2 linked regions of the Arabidopsis thaliana genome follow. The protein of the gene in region 1 interacts with the protein of each later gene in a pairwise test. Each region holds a gene or a part of one and is shown in the gene's direction. Other genes may lie near its edges.

What was found. Proteins that work in one complex are often made in the same cells at the same time.
Region 2: the proteins of ARR4 (region 1) and AT3G12620 interact in a two-hybrid assay, tested with the Arabidopsis thaliana proteins (one large-scale study listed by BioGRID).

What each region holds. Positions count from the first base shown.
Region 1 is NC_003070.9:3,440,539-3,448,253, reverse strand, and holds ARR4 (response regulator 4), read left to right. Parts: upstream 1-3,893; 5' UTR 3,894-4,494; coding exon 4,495-4,672; intron 4,673-4,760; coding exon 4,761-4,837; intron 4,838-4,924; coding exon 4,925-5,002; coding exon of another isoform or gene 5,003-5,084; coding exon 5,085-5,155; intron 5,156-5,254; coding exon 5,255-5,630; 3' UTR 5,631-6,266; downstream 6,267-7,715.
Region 2 is NC_003074.8:4,007,669-4,015,571, reverse strand, and holds AT3G12620 (Protein phosphatase 2C family protein), read left to right. Parts: upstream 1-3,896; 5' UTR 3,897-4,383; exon of another isoform or gene 4,384-4,471; 5' UTR 4,472-4,578; coding exon 4,579-4,903; intron 4,904-4,992; coding exon 4,993-5,360; intron 5,361-5,510; coding exon 5,511-5,747; intron 5,748-5,834; coding exon 5,835-6,062; 3' UTR 6,063-6,302; downstream 6,303-7,903. Other genes in the region: AT3G12640 (RNA binding (RRM/RBD/RNP motifs) family protein), read right to left, coding at 269-620, 702-802, 983-1,117; SAP5 (A20/AN1-like zinc finger family protein), read right to left, coding at 2,383-2,865; DRT100 (Leucine-rich repeat (LRR) family protein), read left to right, coding at 7,793-7,903.

The sequences.
Region 1 (7,715 bases):
TGAAATGGCATTTGGTTTGGACAGTTGTTCCAATTAAGGACCCCACTGCTCTGTAACTTAAAAGATAGATCAAGACAATTAAGTGAAATAACAATAATTAATCCTTATTAGGTGTTATAATTATATTCACTCGTACAACCTAAGATCTCTGATTGGTAGACTTTCTTGCCACCAATAGGTGTCTCATGCAATCAAAGCCTCTTTCCTCTCGCTCAGGTCCTTTATTTAAAATTTTGAAGTAAGAAATTGTAATATTATATCAATCGAGGGAAAGAAGAATTCCAAATAAGTATGCTGTCAACGATAATCTTTTATTTATCCAATAGCATGTGGAATAATTTTAGCTAATTATGATTTTCTGAAAGTTTCTTTATGGTGGCTACTAGGTGGGTGGGTGGGTTGGTTTCTATAATATTTGATATACTGAACTTATATATATATATATACACCAATTATATATATCAACCTCACCTTCTATATTAATTGTTACATATATATTTGTATATATTATATTGCCATCGAAGTATCAAACAACTTTACACTAATTCAAAAACCATTCTGAAACGTTAGTTAGTAGTATACGGTGTCCGTAAAACTTATGCAACTTGACCATGTTTAAGTTTTAACTATAGTCTTGACCAAAAAGGGTTAGCTGTCGTATTTGTCTCTTTTAAAGGAAAGTTATATCATATGATCATGGGCTGTGCCAGGTACCGAAGTACGTATCACATATAATAATACATGCATTGAGACATAGAAAGAATACTAATTAACCAATTCTATTTTTCTCATAACAGAGACATTGTATACAACATATTTAGTTATTTACGTATATATAGATTTCTTCTTGTAAAAAGATTTATTGAGAGTTCCAAACACGGGTATACATGTGCAAGTGAAAAACAAAAACTTGCACATGCATGTAGATTGTATTAGAGATGAATTGAGAAATTTAAGTAGGACTAGATTTTATTATTTTATTTTATGTAAAACAGGTTGAATTTACTAACCATTTTAATTATGTTGAAGATAATTAAGTGTATCCAAAGAGGGACCCCACCTTCCCTATTAATAAAACCTTTGCTTCTCTTCTAGACGACTCCAAGAGCACTCTGATAGTTTATATGTAAAAAGAAAAGAAGCCCACCAAGAATGCCAAGACCAGGGATTAAAAAAAAAGTCCACTAAACTTAAATAAATGGTTGTTACTTAAAAACTATTCCAAAGGTTGTTGTTACTTAAACTATTCCAGCGAGCATGCATAATAAGCTAACAACTATAGAGTATATATAACTTGTAATATCCATTATAAAAAAAAGACACATGTAATATCGACGAGAAAAGATCAAAAGATTACGACGCAGATAAAGTAGGATAGAATCCTAGTTTATGTACGTAAACTATTGTTCTTGAACGATGCAGATCTCCAAAGTCAGCCAAAATATCTATGACTTTGATAATTCTATATTTAGACAAATTGCAGAGATTTTTTCTATAAAAAAATAGGCTTGAATCGCAGAGAATAGTGTGGACTAAAAAGCCTGGTTTCTTTAGGTATATGAAATTACATTTCGTTTGGTTAAATTATATTCATTTTTGTTTAGTCTATATTTTCAAAAGTGACAATTACGATATCCATTTTGATTGAAAAGTGTTCAGGGCTTTGGTTGGGTTTAACTGTCCGACCCTAGTGAATATTAATATGGATCAAACACAGACACAATTGGGCCTTCACTAAAATCTTCAGTTTCGGGCATAAAATATAGAAAGCTTCACTACTCCGATTGCCAACCCCCTTTTAGAGCTAGCGCATGCATGTTCATATATTGTTGAGATATATCTGTTAGTTGATTGTTATGTCAAAAATCTTAACTTATGAAATTTTATGTGCTCCTTGTTCTTGACGTTTTTGAAACATTTCTTGCATGAGTGTGTGTGATAATAAGCATAACACATCGAAATAGAAGTATAAACTTCGCAAATAATAATTAACGACTAAGAATAAAAAAAAACTTTGCAATATGGTGTTAGAGCCCACAATTTTCTTAAATTAAGACAAACGAGTAACTTCGTTTTCATCGAGATCAACATGGCCTCATATTGATGGTGAAATTTTTGATACATAAAGCTAGAGAGCACAATTTGGAAGAGAATAATTACTAGCTCACAAAAAAGTCTAAGAATCAATAGGATAGGAGATATAACTCAGACAACATAAGAGTGATACCAAGGAAGGAGAAAGACCAATCTATGTTATCCAACAAATGCTTTGTAGATTAGATATGAGCTTATGTTGACATTAATCTGGATTTTCGGATTTGAGATTCAACTATATTTCCATGTACGTATAGACTAAAATTGAGTTTCTATATGATCCATTGATCCTGTAACAAAATCTAGACGTCAAAATGAAAATATTCAAGTGTACATGATTTTGAGTATTGTATAATTAGGTCAACTAATCAATTACTTTTATTTCTACAAATATATTATACTATGTAGAAAATATTTACAATAATGATTAGAATATAAAGATGCTCCAAACCTCAATCGAGTACCAACATAAAATTAATTAAAGGGAAAATGTCAATGTCTTTAATTTTGTAATTGATGTCCAAAGTTCCTAGAAAAAAGATAGATTACGATTTTATGTGCGACACGTTGATGACTACTTTTATGGATTTTTTTGTTCAACCCTCGATTTTGAGTTGACATCATGAAGATTTGATCCATCATTCGTTGGCCCATATCGTTTGAAAAATCAATTCTCAAATCAATCTTAAATTTCGCGTAATTATTTTATAAAAATGGGCAATATATCCATTGTAAGATTTGTCTATTTCACGCGTCATTTTTCTTTCTACTTTGTTAGATGTTTTTGGTTAATGTAGAAAAACGATTAAATTAGAGACACTATCAATTAGAAGAAACAAAAGTCTTTTGATAAAACTCTACTTTGATCATCCACGACTGTGATCGATAACTTCTAAGCAACCTTGAAACCTGATCTTTTGAGCTTTAACTTTAAGTAGGAAAATGTCATAGTATTGGATTTGGTCGTCTTTAGTTTACATTCAATCTGGAATAAATTTGTTTCTCTAGAAAAAATAAAGAGCCAAAGAATCATTATATATATTTATTGTTCTCATGTTTATATACCTATTTTTTCTTAATAGTAGCTCTTTATTATCAAGAGATTTTTAAAAACACCTATATTGTCATAACATTTTCATAAAATTTTTAAAAATAAAATAGAAAATCAAAACATTTACCCTTTCAACAAAAAGAAATAATAATGATATTTTATATAAAAAAATATAATAAATGGGTGGGAAAGAGAAAGCAAAAGCGATCTCCAAGATTTGATACGGTGTGGTGTCTAAAAGAGTGAAACAGCAAATTATGTTTGGAAGATTAAAGAAAAAAAAGAAGAAGAGAGGTAAAGTCCAATTCCCCCTTTCATTAATACAAATTGTTCCCAACAAAATATTTATGGGTCCCTCTTTTAGATTTCCCTGGGTCCCGCGGATCCAAATTTTAATGTGGACGTCAAATCCTTTTTTTTTATTATTATTTGTCCACTTTCCTCTTCTTCTTTTTTTTTTTTTTGCCATTTGAAAACGATATAAATAAAAGTGTTTGGATAACATAAAATTTCTAGAGTCATATGGATGGATATACTACTAGTTAGGCGTATACTAATTTTCTCGTCAACCCACAAAACCCGATCTTAATATTATTCTATGAATTGCATTTGAACCATAAATTTTAAATTAGAAACTGACCAATCACATGGAACAATATAAAATTGTCTTAGTGGTTAGTACTTAATACAAATAAGACCAATCCGAAGAACCGAGCCGGTTAAGTTTAAACACGCTACTATGAATTGTAATGGTGTATGACCAAAATTAGCTTCTTTAATCTTCTGGTTTATTATTCTTAACAGTGAGTGATTCCATTTTCAGTTTTTTTTTTCCAATCACACTAATGAGTAATGACGAGATTTTGACTAAGAAGTTGTATATATCTCACGATGGTATATTTTTATTTTTTGGATTCCTTTGTACGGATTTCTTCTCCTCTATTATTTATTCGATTTTAGGAATATTATTTTCTCTATGATATTCGCATAGGCCCTCCACCGGATTTTCCATAAAATCTCTATTTATTAATACTATTGTTTTCAAAGATAAAAGTTCAATTTTTTCAACCCTAAAAGCACGGCACATAAAAATATATAATTTTCACATTAATAGGAACCAAAGATTTTGTTGGATTTTCCTCGCTGGAGATTTTTCAAAATAAAAATTGAAAAAACCAAAAAGACACACTCATAAAAGATTTATTTTAGAGAACAAAAAAATCAGAAATATAAAAAACTGTCTTAAGGAAGAGAAAGGAACAAAAGAAAACAGATGTGAGCTCTTCTTCTTCGTCTTCTTCTCTCTATTTTATTCTCATCCTCTCCTCACAGTTACTATAAGCTCGTCTATGGCCAGAGACGGTGGTGTTTCTTGTTTACGAAGGTCGGAGATGATGAGCGTCGGTGGTATCGGAGGAATTGAATCTGCGCCGTTGGATTTAGATGAAGTTCATGTCTTAGCCGTTGATGACAGTCTCGTTGATCGTATTGTCATCGAGAGATTGCTTCGTATTACTTCCTGCAAAGGTTCGTATTTTTTCAAAAAAAAAAACATCTTTCACTTTTTTTTATTCCTCGCCGGAATATTTACATCTCCGGTGGTATCGTTTGTCAGTTACGGCGGTAGATAGTGGATGGCGTGCTCTGGAATTTCTAGGGTTAGATAATGAGAAAGCTTCTGCTGAATTCGATGTAAGTTATTGAAATCTGATACAGCTTTTTGTTTTTTTTGAAGATTACGATTCGTGAGTTTGATTTAGTTTAAATGGATATTTTCAGAGATTGAAAGTTGATTTGATCATCACTGATTACTGTATGCCTGGAATGACTGGTTATGAGCTTCTCAAGAAGATTAAGGTCTGCATTTTCCCGCCATTTTCCTGTTTCAGATTACGGTTGTTTTAGTAACAATGTTGAATTTTCCGGTCATCTGAAACAGGAATCGTCCAATTTCAGAGAAGTTCCGGTTGTAATCATGTCGTCGGAGAATGTATTGACCAGAATCGACAGGTGTGATTCTTGTTGATTTCTTCACAGATTTTGGAGTTTTTAGAAACTGTTGATTGATTTGATAAAATTTTGTAAAAAAAAAAAATGATTTTTGAACAGATGCCTTGAGGAAGGTGCTCAAGATTTCTTATTGAAACCGGTGAAACTCGCCGACGTGAAACGTCTGAGAAGTCATTTAACTAAAGACGTTAAACTTTCCAACGGAAACAAACGGAAGCTTCCGGAAGATTCTAGTTCCGTTAACTCTTCGCTTCCTCCACCGTCACCTCCGTTGACTATCTCGCCTGAATCGTCGCCGCCGTTGACTGTTTCGACTGAATCGTCGGATTCGTCTCCGCCGTTATCTCCGGTGGAGATCTTTTCCACCTCGCCACTTTCATCTCCGATAGACGATGAAGATGATGACGTGTTGACGTCGTCGTCGGAGGAATCGCCGATTCGACGGCAGAAGATGAGGAGTCCCGGATTAGATTAGTGGAACTATTCTGGGATGCCGTGTAATATTATCTATCTCCGTTAACTTCGTTTTTACCTCTGACGGTGTTTTTAATTGCACGTTGACTTGACGCCGTCAAATTTTATAGATGTCCCTTTAATCTCTCGCGCCTCCACGTGGGCCTTTTTTCCTTTTCCTTAAAGCTTTTCGAATATCTTTTAATTATTTTAATTTCTGCACAAAGTTACGTTTTTAACTTTTTTAGTCTTTAAACAAAGGGAAAATTGCAATCGAACCTTCGACATTCACCATTTATTATGATAACGAGACTTGAATATGCGTTTTTTTCTTATGTATTGGGTCCTAAATAAGTCAATATCATAGACATATGGGGTTTTATAATCAGAAAGTTAGCTAGATCTGACAATTCAAGAATCAGAGAGCTAAGGTTTTTTTTTCCAGATACAAATCAACTAGTAACATTTGAATCCACTATAGTCATTAAACAGTTCCATAAATATATATCAGTTTTATGACCCAAAATACTCCTATTAATGACTATAAGCCGATGCTCTAATTTTTTTGGCTAAATTATAAATATTTCATAGATAATGAAAACAATTTAGGTTACAAACATAAAATTTGAAACTTATACATATGAATTTATAGTAAAAAAGAATAAAAATATAAATGCATAAAAGGCGGTTAATTAAAACCAAATTTTGGGTCCATTTTTCAACCTTGCAATGAAGCTAAGGGAATAGATGAAACGATGACGTTCAATTCTATCCTTCCCAAAAGAGATGCACAAGCCGATGCTCTAATGCAACTTTGAATATACATATTTAACCCAAGAAAAAAATGCTTATAATATACGACGAAGTAGTGGATGCATCATTATGCATGTGTAGATGTGTAGAGAGTAAGCAAGAAAATAAAAAGAAGAAAGAAGGAAGAGGAAGAAAGAATAAATGCAAAGCTGGAAATGGGCAACTCTTGTTCCCTTCCTTTGGGGCATATTTCTCCATAAATAGTCTCTATAGATCCCTTGTCTCTGGCACCCATTTTGGTGTTTCTTTTTTTATGGTCATGTGTTTTTACCATTTGGATCCAAGTAAGATCTTCACATTAGAAACCACGACCAATATAATTAAGCTTGGGATAGCTTTAACTTTTGTATATATGTTGCTTAACGTGTGTGTTTCGGATCTATGTTTGATTGGTACTAGAGGTTGTTATAGGCGGTTGGTCGTAAACTTATTTATCATCGAGAAGACCGCTGCAACAATCTAAGGACATGACCCAATTGCTATTCGCATTCATTTTCTGATGAACAAATCAGATGTTCTTTCGATTATCTAATAAAACATATTATATCTCACTTTATTTTAGCTTGTAATCCAAATTTAGACGTCAGGTGTTCTTTTTCTCTAAATCAACCTAATTCAACCTAAATCAACCATTGAACGAAATTCTATATTCACACACGAATTTTACTCGTATTATTTATAAAAAAAATAATAAAAGATACAATATAAAGAGTTGGATTAGTATAATAATCTAATGACAGAGCCAACCACATTGGAAAGACGAAATCAATTTTAAAATTTGTAGATGCAATGTATATAACCAACAAAATCATTAATTATTGTCGACAACAAAATCATCCCCAAACGATACTCCTCACGTTTGGCGTATTTAAAATTTTGCAATAAATTAACAAAAATTGTCCTTGGTTTGCGTTTTGTCCCTTCATGTGGGGGAATAAATCTCTCTACCACATCTTTTTCTTTTGTCATCTTTGGGGTACTGTAGTGTCCGATCGCTGTTGCATGTGTGTTTCCACGTTTTTTGCTTTACTCTTAACATGTAGATTACTTTTGTCTACGGCTAGTTTGCTGTTTAATTTATTCTTCTTTCTTTTTAGATAGTAATTTGAAAAATTTGAATCTTATGTCCATTATCTTCTTCGTATTTAGAGGAAACATCAAGTAAAATTAGTTTTTCTTTTTTCTTTTTCTTGTTGTCGATATGATAACTCATGGTTTTGAATATATAGTAGAGATAAGCATAGCACAATAAAAGTCATTGCATGAAGGATAGTTTTGTTTTGCTTTGCTTAAC
Region 2 (7,903 bases), on another chromosome or scaffold:
ACCATAACCAGTATCCATACATTGGCTTTACAGCAGGACAAATACTGGAACAAGGCAACCTTATAACACAAAGATAAGAGTAATACGGACGTCTGACTTGTTAGTCTCATACAAAGCAGAACGCAAAGATGCCCTCTGACCAAAACTTTACACTGAGAATGTCTTCACAATATCCCATCCAATAAACTATTTTAGCATTTTTTTCAATTTTCCAATCCAAGTATTACGTGGTGATTGCTATTCAACAGAAATTAACAAAATAACAGACCTGTTCATTCCGTGAGTCGTCAGTTCTAGACCTTTTCCTCTGAGATTGAGCCTGCGGAGATGGAGACCTTTTATTATGTCGGTGTTTATGATCTTTCTTCTCGTAGTTATGAATTTTGTGAACCTCAGAGCTCAGAAGAGGAGGGATCTCAGAGACATTAGTCGGCTGGCTTCTCCATTGTCTACCACGACGTGCACCATTTGATTTATCAGATCGTCCCTTATCATATTCAGAATCCAGAGGAACAAGTGCTTTATCCTCATGACTGCTTATCAATGAGCTTTTTATGGTAGTTCCCTCCACATTAGAACTAAAGTACTCATCTACACTTTCAGCCAGATGATCCCACAACCTGCATATATCCTCCTAGTGAATATGAATTTCTAAAAAAGCAATAAACTTTGTTACACAAAGATAAGAAATATATAAATACCAGGCCACAAAAGAGTCGCTATCATCTCCAAGAAATATCTTCAATTCATTATTTGCTTCCTCTTTTCTTCTCCCATTTCTAAGCAAGACGATCACATATTCCTGCAAGCAAAAGACTTTGTTGTCATTTGAATTCTAAAGAGACTTCTTAGCACCACAATAAGAACAACTAAAGTTCAATTCCAAAACTCAGCAATTCTAGCTACAAGGAACACGAATAATAAACCCCAAAAGCGGATATTCCAATTTTCTGAAAAAGATGGAGAATCGATAAAATCGTACCACAAGAATGTCATCCGTGTAATCGCCCATATACTCCTTGAGTTTATCCTTGACCATCTCTTTCAACTTAGCAACTCCTTCCACACTGAAATCACCGTTAAAGGTCCGATCATCGACTAGATCGGCGCTTCCCATCTTCACTGAAAATTCCTTTACGAGATTATTATCAAAGACCTTAACTTGTTGCCACCGCAATGAGAGAGCCCAAGGAATCAACAAATTGGAATATATATATACACGCCACTAAAACCCTAACCTATGCACGATTCAATTCGAGAACGGATAGAATTAAGGAGCTTCAAGGTGGTGGTACTAGGGTTTGGGTTTCTGTCGGAGAAATCCAGAAAGCAGCAACCCAGACGATTGAAATCCTGATTAATGTCTAAGGGACGGAACAAATTAGATATGAAAAGCCTCTCTGAATTTCTTTTAATTATAAACGGTGCGTTTTGTGTTTCAATTTAAAACAACACATTTATATTTTCACTATTGGGTTGGGCCTAATTAGGTGCTCCAACTTTTAGTTTTTTTTTCTGACTTTTTTTTTTTCCGTCAGTTTTTTTTTTCTGACTAGAGTTATAAATAATCATAGTTGCATGAAAGTACAGTATTTTGTTGCAATTTTTAGATGACAATTGAAAATTGTCCCAATGAACTTACTTTTTTACACATTTTATTAAGTAGATATAACTATAGTCTGGCTACAATGATAGTTGCATGAAAGAACAGTATTTTGTTGGACTTTTAAGATATATGCAAGATATTTTTGTATGCGTTGAAAATAATTCACATAAAAAACTCGTAGAATGAGTAAGCTCATGTTAATATTATTAAAAGAAAACAAAAGTCTAATGTATAGTTTAATATGTTATGCTTTAAAATATACAAATCTATAAAAATAATGGAACACAAGAAGATGATAACCCATACAAACTCAAACACGTTATTGGCTTTGCTATTTTATACGCCAAGCAAACTTGTCTGATAGAAATTGGCTTTGTGAGTTGTGACGCACAATGGACTAGTAGTATCGTGATAAGTACATCTACCACACGAAACGAAACGAAACCAGAAAGACATGTTCCTAAATTACCAAACAACCCCTTCGTCTCTTACATACACCATTTCTCGATGATCAAGAAGCAAATTCATGAATCCGTAAGCCACACAATAATAATATTAATAATCATTCACTAATATATAAATTAAAAGATGAAAAAAAAACGTAAAAAAAAAAATTGAGGTTCAGATTTTGATTTGAGGAGAGGAATAATCTCTCTGATCTTCTTTTACAACACATCACCAAATCAAATCCATGTCTCTCCGACCAATCTCTCTTCCGATCGGAGCTTTTGAACCACCACAAGTTTTTCAACGGTTGAGATCGAATTTTTAATTTTTTAAACTTTGACCATTTTCGCAGCCTTGACCACCGGATTTTCTCTAGCGATCGCCTCACGACCAGCGGTTTTGTAGTCGTAGCTACAATCATGACGATCGGAGTAACGGTGCTCTGAGCAGAAAAGCTCACCGCATCGGCACCTGAATCCGGTCAACCCAACTTTCTTCCGACAACCAGAACATCGGTTTACGATCTGTTGATCTCTCTTCTTCACCGCATCGATCTCTCTTGGACGAATCACGACTTTAGCTGGTGACGAACGAAGATTGACAGATCTAGCCGATCTCTTCAAGATCGAACCTGATTCAACAACACCTGCGGCCGCCGAGACGAGAGATGCGTTGAAACATTTCTGACACATGTTGTTCGTCGCAGGATTCGCTGTAACGCCGCAGTTATTGGTACATAACGTCGTTGTTGTTGTCGTCAAGGTTTCGAGAACTTTGAACTCGGTCTCTTCCTTCTCCGTTCTCTGAGCCATCGTCTTATTGAATCTCCCTGCTCCTCCGGCGAGTTTACGGATCGATTATGAGGAGAGAGAGATAGAGAGGTAGAGAGAGGTAAGAATGGAATATGGGCCTCATAGAGAGACGCGTTTCCATCTCTCTTATCATCTCTCCTTCCACCATCCCCACTTTCTCGTCTTCTGGTGGATTTACGTTAATACCCTCATCGCTTTTTTGGAATTACCAGAGAGGATTAAATATGCATTTCAATGATTCTAGAATGGCTTATGACGCCATACAGCGGACAACAACATGTTTCTCTTTCTCACATTTTTGCTTTTTTGGGTGTATTTTCTGATTTTTCTTTGAGTATACTCTAATTTATTAGTATCATGACTTTTATAAACTGAGATATCAAAGAAGGGTGAGGAAAATCGCTGGAATATGGGCCAACTTGTTTATTTATGTTTCTCTCCCAACAAAAAAATCACCAAAGAAAAGTAATACCATAATCATATATATATCTAGAGGTGTTATTGTGTTAACTAGTTTCGAACACCTGTATGTTTATGTTTGGTTCGACTTCGGACATGTTAGATTTTTATTTTTTACTTTAGGGAAAAACAAAAAGAAAGAGATTTTGGGGGTTAAAACTGTCACACAAAAAAAACGACCTGTGAGGTTGTAAAGCTACGCGTACAACATGTCAACATGCCAATTTGCAGACTTTATTTTTTTTCCATGTTTTTGCGTTAATCAGTAGTATTTTATTTGCTCTTTGGCTTGGAGGTTGAAGCTTTAATGGTCTTATTTTCCTGACCATATTCAACAAGACAACAACCCAGAAGGTGGATTGTATTTCGCGAAATGTTTCTACTTTTTTCTTATATAGATAATGGGATGATGAATTAAAATTGAAATTAATCTCTACAGCATGTAAGAAAATTCGAATATTTTAGTCATTTGATTTTGATAAGTCAAATGAACTAACCATAATTCAACTAGCAGTGGAAAACTTCAAATTTGTTCCTTCAATCAATCGGCTGATGAATCATCAGTATCATTGGACAAAACTAGGAATTGGTGATCAGGTGATACTTTTGATATTTGCATATATTTGATTTCATTCAGATTATGGAAAATGTAAATAAAAATCTATTTATTATAGTAATATTTTAATAAAATTAGTAATCTTGAAAAATGGAGAAACGTAGCTAACTATGGGAGAAAAAGCTGCCTAAAACGTCGGGTTGTTTCTGAGGTCAATGCCTAAACAGCTAAACTCGAAAACCAAATGACAACAAAAAAGCATCAAAAAAAAAAGAAAAAAAAAAAGAGAGAAAAATAAGAGAAATCGAACCCCCAAATAAGGAATTCTGACAGAGTCGCCTGCTAGATTTGTTTTCTTTCTCTCTCGTCATCTCTCTTCCTCTCTGTAATCCCAACCGGAGTTACGATTCCTTCTTATCGTAACTCCTGCTTCCGATCTCGATCCAATTTTCACTTTTGTTTTGTCCGAACGGTAAATCATTTCGCGGCTTTTTTTTTTTAAGGTAATTGATCTCGATCCTTGAAGAAAATTCGTAATTGTATATGCGCGACAAATGTGTATTGATGCATTCGTATTGGTGTATTGTTTAGGGAAGGAGGAATAAGCAAATTTTGATTTGATTCCGTTTTTTTGGGGGTGTTAGTGATCTTTTAGATGAAGTAAAGAAATTTTGATTATTGAGGGGATTATGTGAGTTATGGTATCATCGGCAACTATATTGCGGATGGTAGCACCATGTTGGAGGCGACCTTCTGTTAAAGGAGATCATTCTACTAGAGACGCTAATGGTCGATGTGATGGTCTTCTTTGGTATAAAGATTCTGGTAACCATGTTGCTGGAGAGTTCTCTATGTCTGTTATTCAAGCTAATAATCTTCTCGAAGATCATAGCAAGCTTGAGTCTGGACCTGTTAGTATGTTTGATTCTGGTCCTCAAGCTACTTTTGTTGGTGTTTATGATGGTCATGGTGGTCCTGAAGCTGCCCGTTTCGTTAATAAACACCTCTTCGACAACATCAGGAGTACGTTGTTTCCTTCTTTTTTGTTATATTTGATATGTGTGTGTTTGGGACTATCTATGTTCTAAGTTGGTGACATTTTCTGATTGCAGAGTTTACATCAGAGAATCATGGAATGTCTGCCAATGTTATAACTAAAGCGTTTTTAGCTACGGAAGAAGATTTTCTTTCTCTTGTCCGGCGGCAGTGGCAGATTAAACCACAGATTGCTTCTGTTGGAGCTTGTTGTCTGGTAGGGATCATATGTAGTGGATTGTTGTATATTGCAAACGCTGGAGATTCTCGGGTTGTGCTAGGAAGACTGGAAAAAGCGTTTAAAATTGTCAAGGCCGTTCAGTTATCGTCTGAGCATAATGCAAGTCTTGAATCTGTGAGAGAGGAGTTGCGCTCGTTGCATCCAAATGATCCTCAGATTGTGGTCTTGAAGCACAAAGTTTGGCGTGTCAAAGGTATTATACAGGTAAAAATACTTTCACGGTAATGCGAGTTGCTGACTTCTAGACTCTTTTCTTGCAAGTAGCTTGACTGTGAAAGATACAACTAAGTAAGCCCTATGCATGTATAAGAAGAGGATTTTTCGCTAGATATAACCCGTGGCTGGTTCTTGAAGGTTTCACGGTCGATTGGTGATGCATACTTAAAGAAAGCAGAATTCAACCGGGAACCATTGTTGGCAAAGTTCAGGGTCCCTGAGGTTTTCCATAAGCCCATCCTTAGAGCAGAGCCGGCAATTACAGTACACAAAATCCATCCAGAAGATCAGTTTCTTATATTTGCATCAGACGGCTTGTGGGAGCACTTGTCCAATCAAGAAGCTGTTGACATTGTGAACACATGCCCGCGCAATGTAAGATTGCCACTTGCTCTTTCTTACTCTCTCTCGTTTTATGTGCAAATAGATAGAAAGATTGATTGAGAACATGTGGGTATGCAGGGGATTGCAAGGAAGCTCATAAAAACAGCTCTAAGAGAGGCAGCAAAGAAGAGAGAGATGAGATATTCGGATCTAAAAAAGATCGATAGAGGAGTGCGGAGACATTTTCATGATGATATAACAGTCATAGTTGTGTTTCTTGATTCACATCTCGTCAGTCGCAGTACCTCACGCCGACCTCTCCTCTCCATCTCAGGTGGTGGTGATTTAGCTGGACCTTCTACTTGACTCTACTCTCACCACATCTATATATATCTTATATATACATTATCCACTATATATAAAAACACATTGCAAAACGCAATTCAAGTTCCTTCTTTTTTTTTTTCTCTATATATAAAAATTTCCTCTTAACTCTGTTTTTTATTCATCCCAAAAAAAAATGAAGAGTTGAAATCCAATGTATAGGTCTTTTGGCAAACTGAGTTTATTATGGATAATATAAAGAGATATCACTTGTTGGAAAGATTTCTACTACTGACTACCTCCATCTACCACTTTTTGCTTATGTTGTCATTTTTAGTGTATATACAAAAACATAAGCGAATGTGTAATTGATGCAGTAGAGACCGATACTGCTACAAGTTCGTCTTTTATGTCAAAGACAAAACAACATTGCTTTTCATGGCCTAAGAATTCAAAAGATCTTGTCAGTCACAAATTAAAGTTACCTTAAATATAATTGACTACAGTTCTCAGTAAAAAAATCATCCGACTATAGTTCCAAAATATTTAGAATAGTTATCTAAAAGACCTTGAAAGATCACGAATAATTCACGCAATAGTAAATCGAAATGAAAACAAAATAATCTAATGATCCATATGTTCGCACATGCATTTCATCGAATTTGAATTCATTTGGAGATATGGCGACAAAACTAACATTTTACAAATGGATTACTGTATATTGTTGTTATGATTGAAATTATGTTTTGGTTATGAGCAAGGACATGGAAATTTTTTACTAATACTAAAATAAATAAATAAAGACAGCTCCAGGAAATGGGATCTTGACCCCTGAGCATGTGATGGGCGTTGAATCATGTCCTAACCAAGACAACGCGACTGAAAATCATAAATGCTGGAATAAGCTCTAATGATTTTGATCATAATATTATTTCTTCAACAAGATTATATGTGAATTAGTTAGAAACAAATGTTATATGTCAAATATTATAATTAAACTAATTAAATCAAATGTAAGGATTTTTAACAACGATACGTTTGGGATAAGAAATTAGGGAAGGAAAACAAAAAAATCAAAGTTTGGACTTTGGACAGAGAGATGCTTAGTTAAATGCTTCTGTAGTTCTGTAGTAGGACCACATGAGTCACATGTAAAAGTATTTATGGAGGACCAACCATATTTGGTTTATTAAATGCTGTCTCTAATAATTGGTAAATTATCAATCATAATTAGTCATACTAAGCTTTTATTGATGTGAAGTTTTGGCGTTTCAGTAAACTTGAAATCATAATCATTGCTGTAATATGGCAAAAAAAACTTAGGAAATAGCAAGTCCATGCTCCATAATCCGTGCATTATTGATCATAGAGCTATGTATAAATACGTCTAAGAATATGCATTACTTCAATGTCCATGTAAATTATCTCTTTGCATTAGTTAAATGTCCATGAAAATCAAAACATATATCCTTACCGTTGAAACAAATCAACATGATTAACTTATATATTGCCGGATCATGGTTGGATACTCGATTAATCAAATATTTTTTTAAAAAGTAAAACTGACATACACACATGATACTCATCTTTAGTACAATAGATTAAAGGGTATAAGAATACATTCGTAAGATAATATATAGAACAATAGTAGTAACATGCACATGCCCATGATACCATGCACATGCAAATGTCTCTCTCTCCTTTTCTACGTTTCTATATAATCCAAAGACTCATTACACAACACCACTCTATATCAAACATTTCTTTTAAAAATGAGAAAGTTGTTGGCATCGCCGTTTAGTTCATTACTCGCCGTCGTTTTCATTTCCGTCATCTCCGTCGTCAGATGCTGCTCTCCTAAAGATCAGACGGCTCTCAATGCT